Linked DNA regions of Arabidopsis thaliana. The protein of the gene in region 1 binds, or shares a complex with, the protein of each later gene. Each region holds a gene or a part of one and is shown on either strand. Other genes may lie near its edges.

What was found. The genes of interacting proteins can lie anywhere in the genome.
Region 2: AT1G29070 (region 1) and emb1473 share a complex: the UniProt entries of both Arabidopsis thaliana proteins name them as parts of the 50S ribosomal subunit.
Region 3: AT1G29070 (region 1) and RPL15 share a complex: the UniProt entries of both Arabidopsis thaliana proteins name them as parts of the 50S ribosomal subunit.

The regions. Positions count from the first base shown.
Region 1 is NC_003070.9:10,147,727-10,152,256, reverse strand, and holds AT1G29070 (Ribosomal protein L34), read right to left. Parts: upstream 2,467-4,530; 5' UTR 2,374-2,466; coding exon 2,160-2,373; intron 1,362-2,159; coding exon 1,102-1,361; 3' UTR 850-1,101; downstream 1-849. Other genes in the region: AT1G29060 (Target SNARE coiled-coil domain protein), read right to left, coding at 2,798-2,959, 3,598-3,654, 4,092-4,215, 4,339-4,400. UniProt on the Arabidopsis thaliana protein: This protein binds directly to 23S ribosomal RNA.
Region 2 is NC_003070.9:29,574,039-29,578,380, reverse strand, and holds emb1473 (Ribosomal protein L13 family protein), read right to left. Parts: upstream 2,576-4,342; 5' UTR 2,385-2,575; coding exon 2,133-2,384; intron 1,825-2,132; coding exon 1,639-1,824; intron 1,439-1,638; coding exon 1,268-1,438; intron 1,092-1,267; coding exon 975-1,091; 3' UTR 501-974; downstream 1-500. Other genes in the region: AT1G78620 (integral membrane protein (Protein of unknown function DUF92, transmembrane)), read left to right, coding at 2,623-3,072, 3,400-3,653, 3,801-3,924, 4,038-4,142.
Region 3 is NC_003074.8:9,490,555-9,494,417, reverse strand, and holds RPL15 (ribosomal protein L15), read left to right. Parts: upstream 1-1,762; 5' UTR 1,763-1,859; coding exon 1,860-1,943; intron 1,944-2,014; coding exon 2,015-2,378; intron 2,379-2,670; coding exon 2,671-2,822; intron 2,823-2,916; coding exon 2,917-3,150; 3' UTR 3,151-3,363; downstream 3,364-3,863. Other genes in the region: AT3G25930 (Adenine nucleotide alpha hydrolases-like superfamily protein), read left to right, coding at 547-745, 865-956, 1,121-1,233, 1,326-1,386; AT3G25910 (MAP kinase kinase kinase, putative (DUF1644)), read right to left, coding at 3,464-3,863.

The DNA.
Region 1 (4,530 bases):
ATGCCATCTCGTCCTAAGATCCTACTCACGGCTTTTACTAGCTACTAGCTAGTCCATCACATCATACACCTTTTAAACATAATAACGTATGTGAATTATGTTATGACCGGAGACTTTCCTTCCTATGAAGAGTTTGATGAGTAGAGGAGTGACACGGATCGAATATTTGATAAATAGCTCATTCATCTAGATAGGTTTAAAACTTTAGACTATTACATTGTAGACAAAAAAAAAAAAAAAAAAAAAAAAGGATACAGAGGCCTTTTATCGGCCCACCTTAAAAAAAGAGAGCTACAGAGGCCTTTTATAGACCCACTTTAAAAAACAAAGATATATGAATTTGAGATAAGAAACCTTATTTCAAACAAGAGAATAGTTTATTTTGTCCCACATCGTTTAGGTAGAGATAGTGATGGTAGTAACATGCCTATAAAAAAGAAAGAGCTAATTACGTAAAAGGCATGATCCTTCAGGCAAGTTAAAGGGGATATGATGAATGGTAAAAACTCGCTTATATTGCGAGAAGAGCGTTCCGCCCAAAGCCTGTTACGACTATTGGGCGCTCTCTTTTTTACACAATCTGATCCCTCCCTAATTTCCAATAAGAAGGAACTTTTCTTTTTTAGTTTTGGTTTCATTTTTCTTAACTAGTTTGTTTTTGGTGCAGTTTTCTTTTTAAGGGGAATATAATTTAGGGTTAGTACTTAAAAGTAATTGTTAGGTTGAAATAAAACTAGTAAATGAAAGTAAAATCCTTCAGGGATTGAACCCCAAACTATATACATCAACTTTCAGCAACCATTAACACTACTTGGAATCTGAACAATTCTTACACACCAGAATTATCCTGGTGGCCAGAAGAGATCTTTAAGTAATTATGGCTTTGAAGTTGAGACTTCGAGTAGTAACAAATTCAATGAAGCAAGTAGTATAGTAGTACATGTGATGAATTCCAAGAACATTGATTTATAAACGAATCAAGGATGCAAGAGAGTTAAAACGCAGAAAAGAGCTCAACGAACCATGTTTCTCATTGTATCTTCTGGTGGAAAAAAAGCACATGAAACAAGATTACAGATAGAGTGAAGAGAGAAACAAACTTCAAGCCCGTTTGCCGCTGCTAGGGTTGGACTTGGGACAGAGGTTCCAACGTCCCTTGGCACGTCGACGCTTTATGGTTGCTCTACCGCTAGTGGTCCTCATCCTTCTACGGAAACCATGAGTCCTAGCTAGAGATTTTCTTGATCTGCTTCTCTTAGTTTGACACAGAGCAGCTTTTCCAGCTCTAACCACAAGGCCTCTGCGTCTCTGGCCATTCAGTCCACTAGTTTGACTGCTGAGATCAAACGCAATGGACAAACCTGAAAAGACAGCAACACCATTTTGATCAATGTGACATTATAGGTTTGATAGTGTATCAAGCTGATAATATTGGAACCGGTAAACTCCTTCCTTTAATTACCCAAAGAACTCACCATACAATACCAAACTCTCAACACACTGCTCAGAATCAAGACCCAGACAAATCCAAAATGACTTTAATGCATTCTCCTAGGTTACCCTTTTAACTCTTGAGCTATAACCATAACGTCTGTTGCTAAATTGGCAAAGCTTATAATTCACTGCTCAAATCTTAGCCTAGCTACAATGGTCGTACAATATACTTTACAAGAAAATTATGATCAAAGGAGGAGGAACAAGTTCATGTGACATATTGAAGCAAATCTATAACCATTGTACCTAAATAATCGACATGAGCTAAAAGATTTTTGTACTAAAAATCAAACAACATTTACTTGCGGCTACAAATACATGAGCTAAGATATCAGAAATTGAGGCTTAAGTTGCAAAATGTTATCTTCACTTGTTGTTATAAACTTAACAAGAAATATCAGAAACAAACAAAATGGCTTCTTTCACTCACACTCCCAAATCGAATTCACCATTGACAACTATGTTTCACAATTCCCAAATTCTTCTAAAAAAGCTTCGAATATATGTGTTTGCAAAGTAAGCTAGAGCCTAACACACGAGAATAGTGATAAATCAACCAAACCCAAAGAACCAGAAAAAAAAATCAAAATTGGGTAAAAGAACTTGATACATTACATCACCAGAAGCTAAACACAAACAATAATTCGAACCAATTTAAGATGTACCAGAAAATGGAGACGCTAGGGAAACAGGCGACGAGAGAAACGAGCAATGAAGCAATTGCGAAGAAGCGGAAGAAGTGAGAGAGGACGAACTCCGTCTACAACCCGTACGCAGAGAAAGCGAAGCAGAAGGAACGCAAATCTTGCCGTTGGAGGCAGCAGGATTCCATAAACGCGACGAAGCCGAAGCTACAACGGAAGTGGATAAGGAAGCCATTCAAGTTCCCACTTCTTATCTCCAAACCCAGTTCCTTTGTTTCTCCGGTCTCCTTTACATAGTGTGGAACCTCTATCGTCTACGGACGATACCACCATAAACTTACGCATAAGAACCAACCATAATAATACACGTATCACGACACTTCAGCCCATAAGACTATAAAAGCCCAATACTGAATTGGACCGGACGGGTAATTAATCAAGTTAAGGCCAGATTTGAACTGGTCTAAAATATCTCATGCTGTTGTTCTGTGATACAATTTTGCTTCATGTAAACTGTTAAAAACAGGCACTCTATATAACAGGTAACGAGAAGAACCACAAAATGTTTGTAATCTAGAGGATATTTTCTACAACTTATCCAACATTCATCAAGGGTTTTTTTTTGGGGGGTAACACAAGTATGCCATGAGTCTCTCTATCTATCTTTTGAACATCTTGGACCACATGTAGAGGATAAAGAAGAGGAGGAGCGCGAAAAGAACTACGTGCATTATGTGGTTGTTACCACTACGGATTATGCTTAGGTTCAGTTTCCTTATGTTGTTCTTCACCCCTGCTTGCGCTCTGATCAATGTCATTTGCTGTCACAAACAAAAACAAAATACCATTGAAGCGTTTTATGTTTCAGACAAGAACAACATTTCGTCTACTTATTTTATTTTGCTTATAACAGCACTAAATGCTTGTTTCTGCAGTCTCACTACCAAATCTAGTTGTTTGTCATTATCTTCTCTAGGATGTTCTTCTAGGTAACAAAAGAAAAAACTAGAACGAACTAAAAGCAATGAACACATTCAACACCAACATTCTCATTGACAAAGTGGCAGGAACTCAATGATAAGCTGTAACCATTTCCTGCTGCATTTCACCAAACTAGGTGAGATTGAAGATATCTAATCCTACCCACCACCAGCGTTCAGACCAGATCCTAAGTAAACATAATCTACACTTTGGATTTATCAAGATTCATTGGTTTTGTAAGCTACGGTTAAAGTTATCTAACATATGTTAGGATGAAACTATATTTTCCCAACTAATAATGAACAGAGACATCTGAAACAAGTTATAGGAAACCGATATTCGGATATACTATATATAATCAGTGATTCATCTTAAAGGTAAAGAAGAGTAAATGAATGCATGTTACTGATGTTAAGTGCTTACATTGCAATTTACTATGATGGATAAAGAAAAAACTAAAGGGACATCAACAACATACCAGTTCATCTAAGAAGTCCCTCTGAGACTTTGCTTCTGACCCAATTTCTTGAGCAATCTGCATCAAAATAAGCGATCAACGATATAACAAAAAATCATGAGGGATAAATAATGCGCAAAAGTGCAAGGTAAAACACAAGGAATTGTAGAGAATGTCGACTGATTCCTTCAAGAAGGGTGGTGATATAAAACAATAACCACAGATGTATACAAAAGACATCAGACAAGTGGATTCAACTAATTAATCGTGGACTGACTGATAAGTATTGTGAACAATAACATTATCATAGTACCCTGAACAAAAAAACACCTACACAACTAATTAACCAAGCTCTAACCACTGTCAAAACCGAAAAGAAGACAAATTTCCAAATTCATATGATCAACTTAAAGCTTAAAGAGAACAATGATCCTTCAGAACCACAAGAAGACAATACAAATGGCACTATAGATAAAAAGTAGAAAGATCGAAATGGGATTTAGAGGGTTTCTTACATTTTTCAATTGCCTGACTTGGCCATGGAGACCTAGAATCTCATCATCCAGGTCAGAGTGCATAGGATCAATCCTCAGCTGAATTTCCTCTGAACCTGAAGCATTTCTAGTGCTTAGCCCTTCTCTACAAATCACACACCAAAGATAAATACTTGTACTTTACGCAGAATTCACCAAATCTAGGACCCGTTTTCTCTATCCAGAATCGATTTCAGAAAAGGAGAAACTGATAATATTAGAAATATACCTAGATCTATACGGATCAGCTCCGCCGTATAGAGAACCACCCGCACCGCGATTGGACGCCATCGACGCGAAATCTAATGGGTGTAAGAAACCCTAAATTCGAATCTGCTGGGGTTTGAGAAATTAAGTTTTGTATTCTCTCAGAAAATTCGAGATCGAGAAATTGCAACCAAAAGAAGAGAACAAATTTCAG
Region 2 (4,342 bases), about 19 Mb from region 1:
TTTTAAAGTACTTTTTAAAATTTAGATTTTGTTTATTCGGATTTTAAAAATCTTTTTTCATGTGTTTATTTTTTAAAATTATATTATTTAATGGATACTAAATTTATATAATGATATGAAATCTAACCGGATTTTGGATCCAGCAATAGTCGTTAGCGATTCCAAACATTCAACTTGTTTTTCCTATTATTATGTAGATTAAACATTCAAGGTTTTACTTCGCATTTTTTAAAATAGTTTTAATATTATTTTTTTGGATGCTAAATTTACATAATGATATGAATACTAACCGGATTTTGGATCCAACATTAGTCGTTAGCGATTCCAAACATTCAACTTGTTTTCATATTATTATGTAGATTTAACATTCAAGATTTTTATTTGGATTTTTAAAAATAGTTTTTAAAATTTTGATTTTGTTTATTGTCGGATTTTAAAAATCTTTTGTGTTTGTTTGTTTGTTTTTAAATTTATTTGGATGCAAAATTTACATAATGATATGAATACTAACCGGATTTTGGATCTAGCATTAGTCGTTAGCGATTCCAAACATTCAAATTGTATTTCCTATTATTATGTATATTTAACATTCAAATTTTGGATCCAGCATTAAAAATTTCAGTTTTAAGTAATGACTCGATTAAGGCATGAATATTAGATTTTCCTTGCATCTGTGATCTCATTGGGAAGGTTTGTTACCAATTGAAGAGGAAGTTTTTGTTAATGGTGACTACTGTTGCTTATGGCATTTGTATTCATTACATGTCATCTTTTTCATGTTGAAGAAGATATTCAGTAGCAAAAAAAAATAACGAGAAATATTTCAAATTAGAAAGTTTTGTAGCATAACAGAGTTGATAGAAGCGAAAACAAGAATCTGTAAAGCCTCCTCTGGTTTTGGGATGAAGAAACTACAGAAACCTGAGAAGAAAAAACTCTCTGCGCTTGGCGATAATGGAACAGTGGTGGAGCTTCTATTTTTGCAGCTGTATTCTCTTGTCCCTGATAGGCAGATCAAGCGGTTTCTGGGCCTCGTGAGGATGGTCAGGGCCTTTGTACACCTTCAGGTGATTGAACAGAGCTCTCCCAAGCTGCCACAAAATGGTCAGACCAAAGTTAAGAGGGAGTTGGAAAACTAGTAATCAATCAATACCAATATCGCAACAAGTAGTTTCCAAGTTCAATCCATAAGTTTGAAGAAACACGGATTTGCTAAGTGTTAAGACTTAAAGGAGACTAATAAAGAGCTGTGGATTATGTATCTAACCCGTCCCTTTGGAAGCATTCCACGAACAGCATGCTCAACGATTCTTTCAGGAATTCTCTGCTGCAATTGATCAAATGTCTCTACTGTCATACCACCAGGTCGTCCTGAATGCCTCCTGTACAGCTTTTGGTTACGCTTCTTTCCAGATACAGCAACTTTCTCAGCATTCACCTTTAACCAAACAATTGAAAACAGTATTAGAGGTACCAAGTTACAAGCATTGCCCAAACATCTACATAGAGGCTCTACATCTTGCTGCTAATGTGAATCTTACTAAAACCAAATCCCAAGGCTCCTCCTTCAGGAAGAAATTAACTAAAGCAGCACATCAAATTTCTTATTCTCTACAGATAGCTCAAAGAAACTCATACCACAATCACAAAAGCTCCCATGTCGACACTAGGAGTGTAAGAGGCAAGATTCTTCCCACGGATGTGATTAGCAATTGTCGATGCCAATCTACCAAGAATTTTGTCAGTTGCATCAACCACAAACCAGGGCTTGTCCGTGTTCACATGGTCTGAAGCTTTTGGATACCATGTCGTGTTCCAGATGTCCTGTAAACCATAGAATACACTCAATAAAGGTTTCAAGCCAAAGACTTTTAACTTCTCTCCAACCAAACATTAATAATTTCATAAAACGTCCAAGTTAACAAATTCAGAAGAATAAACATCAATTTTCGAAGCCAATTGATGCAGACAACACAGCTAATGAGTCAAAGGCAAAATCCACTACTTAATAAATCGCAATTGGGAGAAGAAAAAAACAAGCCATACTTCAAATTCAAAGCAAGAGCTAAAGTGCGACACTTTATAAATGCGTAGATGCTAAACACAGAGGGAGATAGAAAAATTATCGTTACAGGGCCATTAGCTTCTTCTTCGTCGAACATCCATCGTTGATTCGCCGGAACAAGAGAAGTCGTCGTCGTCGGCTCAGCTTCACACTTCACTTGCAATCCTCTTTTCGAATTCGCATAAATGCCGACTCGTACCGACGGCTTCGAGATAGCCGTTAAAGAGAACCCTAAAAACGGAGACTTTCTCTCACTTCCGGAGGATTTCACGGAAGAAGAAGAGAGTATCACCGTCGAAGACGAGCAAAGAACCGCCATTTTTGTTTTTCTCTCTTCTGCAAATTTCTTCTGCTCTTTCCGATTTCTCGGATAAGATTGGGTTCTCAGTAAATAGTAGTAGTGGCAACACCGTAAATAATCTGATGAATACGACCGAAAAATAAACACAACACGGGTTAAGGATCCGGGTTTTTTTCGGAGCTCCGGATTCAACCCGAAATACTGTTTTTTTTTTCTCAATAGGAGAGAAAGGTCTTCTTCGGAAGCAAGCTAAGTCATGGCAACGATTTCGTCAACTCTACTCTTAAATTCTTCTAGATCAGCTTTACCACTAAGATTCCCAAAATTCTCGGGATTTTCTTCTTCCTCTCCATTCGCTAGATCTTACAGATTTGGACGACGTAATCTGGAACCACTTTCCAACGGAATGCTTTCGTCGGGAAGTAGAGCCGACGGTGCTACGGCGGCGGCTGCATCGATGGAAGGAGTGATGACGGAGGCGATGAAACTGATTCAATCGGCGTCACCAACTTGGAAATCAGCTGTGGCTAACAATTTATTGATTTTTGTTCTCGGTTCACCGCTTCTTGTTACCGGATTGTCCGCTTCTGGGATCGCCGCCGCGTTTTTGCTTGGTACTTTAACTTGGAGAGCTTATGGCTCTGCTGGTTTCCTCTTAGTCGCTGCTTACTTCGTCATAGTAAGTGCATTTGTGATCAACCTGAATGTAATTCGGTAACTGACTCTTAGAACGTAGAAATTCGCTGCTTTGATTTTGATTTCGAGCTGATGAATGAAGAATGTCCTTAGATTTTAGATGTGTTATTGTTTAATTTAGGAATTGTGGACGTGTTAGAGATCCTAAATCACGTTTACAGATTAAGGAGCTACTTTTTCTGATCATGCTCAACATTGAGATACTTAGTCTTTTCTCTGCAATGCTTTAAGTTTTAGATTTCAATATCGTGTTTCACCCCAGAGCTGGAAATAGTAACAGTAAATTTGCAATTGATTCTGGCGCTGAAGTTGGTTTAGATGATTTACAATATCACAGGGAACAGCGGCAACGAAGGTTAAAATGACGCAAAAGGAAGCACAAGGTGTGGCCGAAAAGAGAAAGGGTAGAAGAGGACCACGCAGTGTGATTGGTTCAAGTGCTGCTGGTTGTGTCTGTGCTTTTCTTTCAATATATCAAGTGGGAGGAGCAGCTTTTTCCCAGCTTTTCCGGCTTGGTTTTGTTTCCAGTTTCTGCACTAAAGTATCTGACACTGTCTCGAGCGAGATAGGCAAAGCTTATGGAAAAACAACGTGAGTATGCTACTGTTATCCAGCTATAGCCTCTTCTGTTATGGTCTGTGTCTGTTTTCTGTCTGATGTATGGCATGGACTTGTGGTGTCATGACATGAATCCAATCGACAACTGAAATGATCTTACTAACCATTGCCAATTCGCAGGTATTTAGCTACGACATTTAAGATTGTACCAAGAGGAACAGAGGGAGCTATGAGTCTTGAAGGAACATTGGCTGGACTTTTAGCATCATTTTTTCTTGCATCTGTTGGCTGCTTCCTGGGTCAGGTAATAGTGTTATTTGCTACCAAAATTTCCCTTCACAGCTTCTTTATGCTACTAAAGACTGTTATCATTACACGATTTTTAAACTTCTTTTCCTTTTGATATCTTGAACACAGATAACTCCTCCAGAAGCAGCTGTATGTGTACTAGCTTCCCAGATTGCCAATCTTGGAGAGAGCATAATAGGTGCTTCTTTTCAAGACAAAGAAGGATTCAAATGGGTATGCTCACTTCAATGAACTCTCTTCTTTTTGTTTTATTGATCTCACTCTGTCTACTTGTTGTCAATGCAAGAAGATGATAATCAAATGAATATACCGTCACTTCTTGCAGAAAGACTGATAGATAACTGGCTTGAGTGGAAAACGATTTCCATTCAATACAGAATTTTGAAGTTTTCGTCTTATGAATCCATTCCTTG
Region 3 (3,863 bases), on another chromosome or scaffold:
TATTATTCGATTGTTTTCTTTTTTGATATACAAATGTTTTTTTGTTAGACTTAGCATTGTCTCTATCCTAATTTGAATAAGCATATGACTAGTCTTTTGAAAATTTCAGTAAAACGTTTTCCGCAAACTCATCACAAGTTAAGCAGAATCTGAACCGAAATCTAAATGATCAAGTGATATAACATGGAGATTAAATCACTATAAATCGTTATGTAATTTCTTTAAATGATTGCATATTGTGGGATTGAACTTGAAGTTATAGCGATTTTACGCTTTTGGTTCTAATCCAAACCTACTTTGCCACTACACACGGGTTTAATATAGTATTACTTGTGTGTATAATTTTATTTTATTTTGCAAACGAGAAGAAGCCAGAATCAAGTCGTTAACCCATGCCTTTCAATTACCCAATCACCTAAGATTTTTTTTTATATTACTTCCTTTGACAAGTTAATCCACTTCCAAATATACTATAAAGTTGCACATTGACAAGAGGTTTTAGCAGAAGCTAGAAGAAGAAAGGAGAAGAAGAAACAAAGAGAGAAGATGAAGAATGTTATGCTGATTATTGACGAGAGCAACGCAAGTTATGATTTACTCATTTGGGCACTTGAAAACCAAAAAGATACCATTGAGAGCTCCAAAGTTTATATCTTTGCAAAACAGCCACAAAATTCCTTTACTCCTCCTACCGTACTTTCTTCATCAGTCGGCTTTGCTCAAATTTTCTATCCATTTTCACCTAGTAAGTCATTTTATCGACTAATTTGTTGGGAGTTTTCAATAAATATCAAATTTTCTATCCATTTTCACCTAGTACTTTCTTTTGTTGAAAATTGATCAGTTTTTATGTGTGTTTTGCAGATTCAGAACTCATAAGATTGGCTCAAGAAAAGAATATGAAAATTGCTTTGGGTATATTAGAGAAAGCCAAGAAGATATGTTTAAATCATGGGGTAATAATCTATTGACTGAATCATTTAACTTGTTATTAATACAATATCATATATATATTTTTAAATACCAAAGTTTTAAAAGAAAAAAATGAAGTTCTTTTCATGACAACCATTTGTTGCAATATTTTAGTCTCATGATCTCATCATAATCATGTTGAAAACAGATCAAGGCAGAGACATTTACTGATGATGGAGACCCTAAAGATCTAATCCGCAAGATAATTCAAGAACGAAATATCAATTTAATAGTTACGAGCGATCAACAAAGTCTCAAAAAGTAAGAAACATCTTTTAATTTCAAAATATCAGTTAAAAAACTTAGTATTGATGGAAAAGTTGAGATAACAAACATCTTTTAATTAAATGCAGGTGTACACAAAATACAGATTGTTCTCTTCTTGTCGTGAAGAAAAGACTTCGCAAAGATTAAAGATTAAGGAAGTTACAAAATTCACCAATATATATAATTTTCTATGTGGTTAATTGAGATTGTGTAATGATTTGGGGTTGTAGTTTCAGGTGTTGATTTGGGGTTGTAGTTTGAACTTATAATTGTGTTATGTGTATAAATATTTGTGTTTATATATATCAAGTTAGTATAAATACTATAATTTCTTATCGTTTCTTTTATTGGCACTGGTGTCTTGATCATCCCGACTAATTCAGACATGAGCTTATCTGAAAACCCACTTTGGACACAAACGAATTGATACGAACGAGTAACGACTCTTTTATTGAAAACGAAAAGGCCTAAATTTGCTGTGAAAGGCCCAATAAACAATTAAGTGATTATGTAAGACGATGTCGTTTAACTCTTAAGTTTCTCAAGAAAGTTATCTCTCTCTATCTATCTTCCTCAACCTTATCCTTGAAGCTTTGTTTCATCTGTTGTTCCCTGTGACCATGGCTACTCCACTCTCAATCTCATCAAATCCTCTCACCTCCCGCCATTGTTACCGTCTCCACTTATCTTCTACTTCATTCAAGGTAATCTCTCATTCTTCTACAAATGTCAATTTTGAATGAATCCGTAAAATTGGAATTTGAAATGTGTACAGGGAAATGTAAGTGTTTTGGGGGCAAACCCAAGTCAGATTCTATCTCTGAAACTCAACCAAACCCTTAAAACGAGAAACCAACAGCAATTTGCGAGACCCCTTGTTGTGGTTAGCCAAACGGCGGCTACGTCGTCGGCAGTTGTAGCTCCGGAGAGATTCCGTTTGGATAATCTTGGACCACAGCCAGGTTCGAGGAAGAAGCAGAAGAGAAAAGGTAGAGGTATCTCTGCAGGACAAGGAGCAAGTTGTGGTTTTGGTATGAGAGGTCAGAAATCAAGATCGGGTCCTGGGATTATGAGAGGCTTTGAAGGTGGTCAAACTGCTCTTTATCGTCGTCTTCCCAAACTTAGAGGAATCGCTGGAGGTAAAGTTTTGTTTTTGTTTGGTATCCAAGTTTTGTGTAGCCCAAATGTTCGATGAAATGTCTCATCCAAAAGGCTCTGTTTAAATTTGGTGATGCTGCTTTCAGTTTTATTTAGTTAGGGCACATTTGTTTCATAGATTTAATATTGGGTAAGAGAGCCATGAATTGACAACTATGGATCAAGATTGTAGTTAGTGAATAGAGATATTTCATGGTTCGATTTTGCTAATTAGCTCAAACCAATAGAGATATATTTCTGATGCATCGTTGCGTTACTGTGTTCTTTAAACAGGTATGCGTTCAGGATTACCTAAATACTTACCGGTTAATATCAAAGACATAGAAACAGCTGGGTTTCAAGAGGGAGATGAAGTGTCATTGGAGACATTGAAGCAAAAGGGTTTGATTAATCCTTCAGGGAGAGAAAGGAAACTCCCTCTTAAGGTTAGTTTTCCAAACTTGTTGATCCTACTTCTTTCGATTGTGCTTTCGTCTTTTCTTTCTTTATTTAAACGTTTTGATTGGTCTTGGATTTCAGATTCTGGGTACAGGAGAACTAAGCATGAAGCTCACCTTCAAAGCTCGTGCCTTCTCAACACAAGCAAAAGAGAAGCTTGAAGCTTCAGGTTGTACACTCACTGTGTTGCCGGGAAGAAAGAAATGGGTTAAGCCATCTGTTGCAAAGAACCAAGCACGAGCAGATGAATACTTTGCCAAGAAGAGAGCTGCAGCAGCAGAAGCAGCAACTTCAGAGCCAGCAGCCTCTGCTTAAATTACTTCAGTTTCAAGCTCTTTTTAGTGTTGTAAAGCTGCAGAGAAGATAATTGTCTATGACAAATGTTAATTACAATTCCTTTGTCTTTTTGTATGGTGAAGAGATTTACATTTTGTTGTTTGAAGAGTCATTATCAAAAAGATATTTAAACGGTAATGAAATATTGAACATTTTGTTTCCCAATAGTAGAAACTTTTTTCAATCTCCAAAGAAATTTTACATAATAGGGTTTCATAAGTGGGGTTATTACTACAAGGTTTCCCCCATTTTATCATAAACTCCAAAGACCAAATTTCCAAACTGCAGAGCATCACGGTTCTTCTTCTTCATCATCATCATCAATGACAGTTCTTCTTCTAGAACGACGTCTCCGAGTTCCAGACACTTGTTCATCAGAAGATTGATTATTCTCCTCATCTCTAGGTGATGTTCCTGTATTACCTTCATAGCTCTCTCCCCAAAGACTTGCAGGTCTTGAAGATCTTCTTCTCCCACTTGTATGTGTCCTAGCTCTAGATGTACCAGACCAGCTACTACTCCTTGAGCCACTCGATTCTGGTCTAAACACGCGGATGAGAAAGTACACTGTAAGCAAGCGAGTATCAGCAAATAGAAACCCATCATCGTTACTTATTTCATCTCCTCCAAAAGAAGATTGGAGTGTGCTAAGTAAATCCCCTAAATCGCTCTGCCTTTCTAGCCTCCTCCAG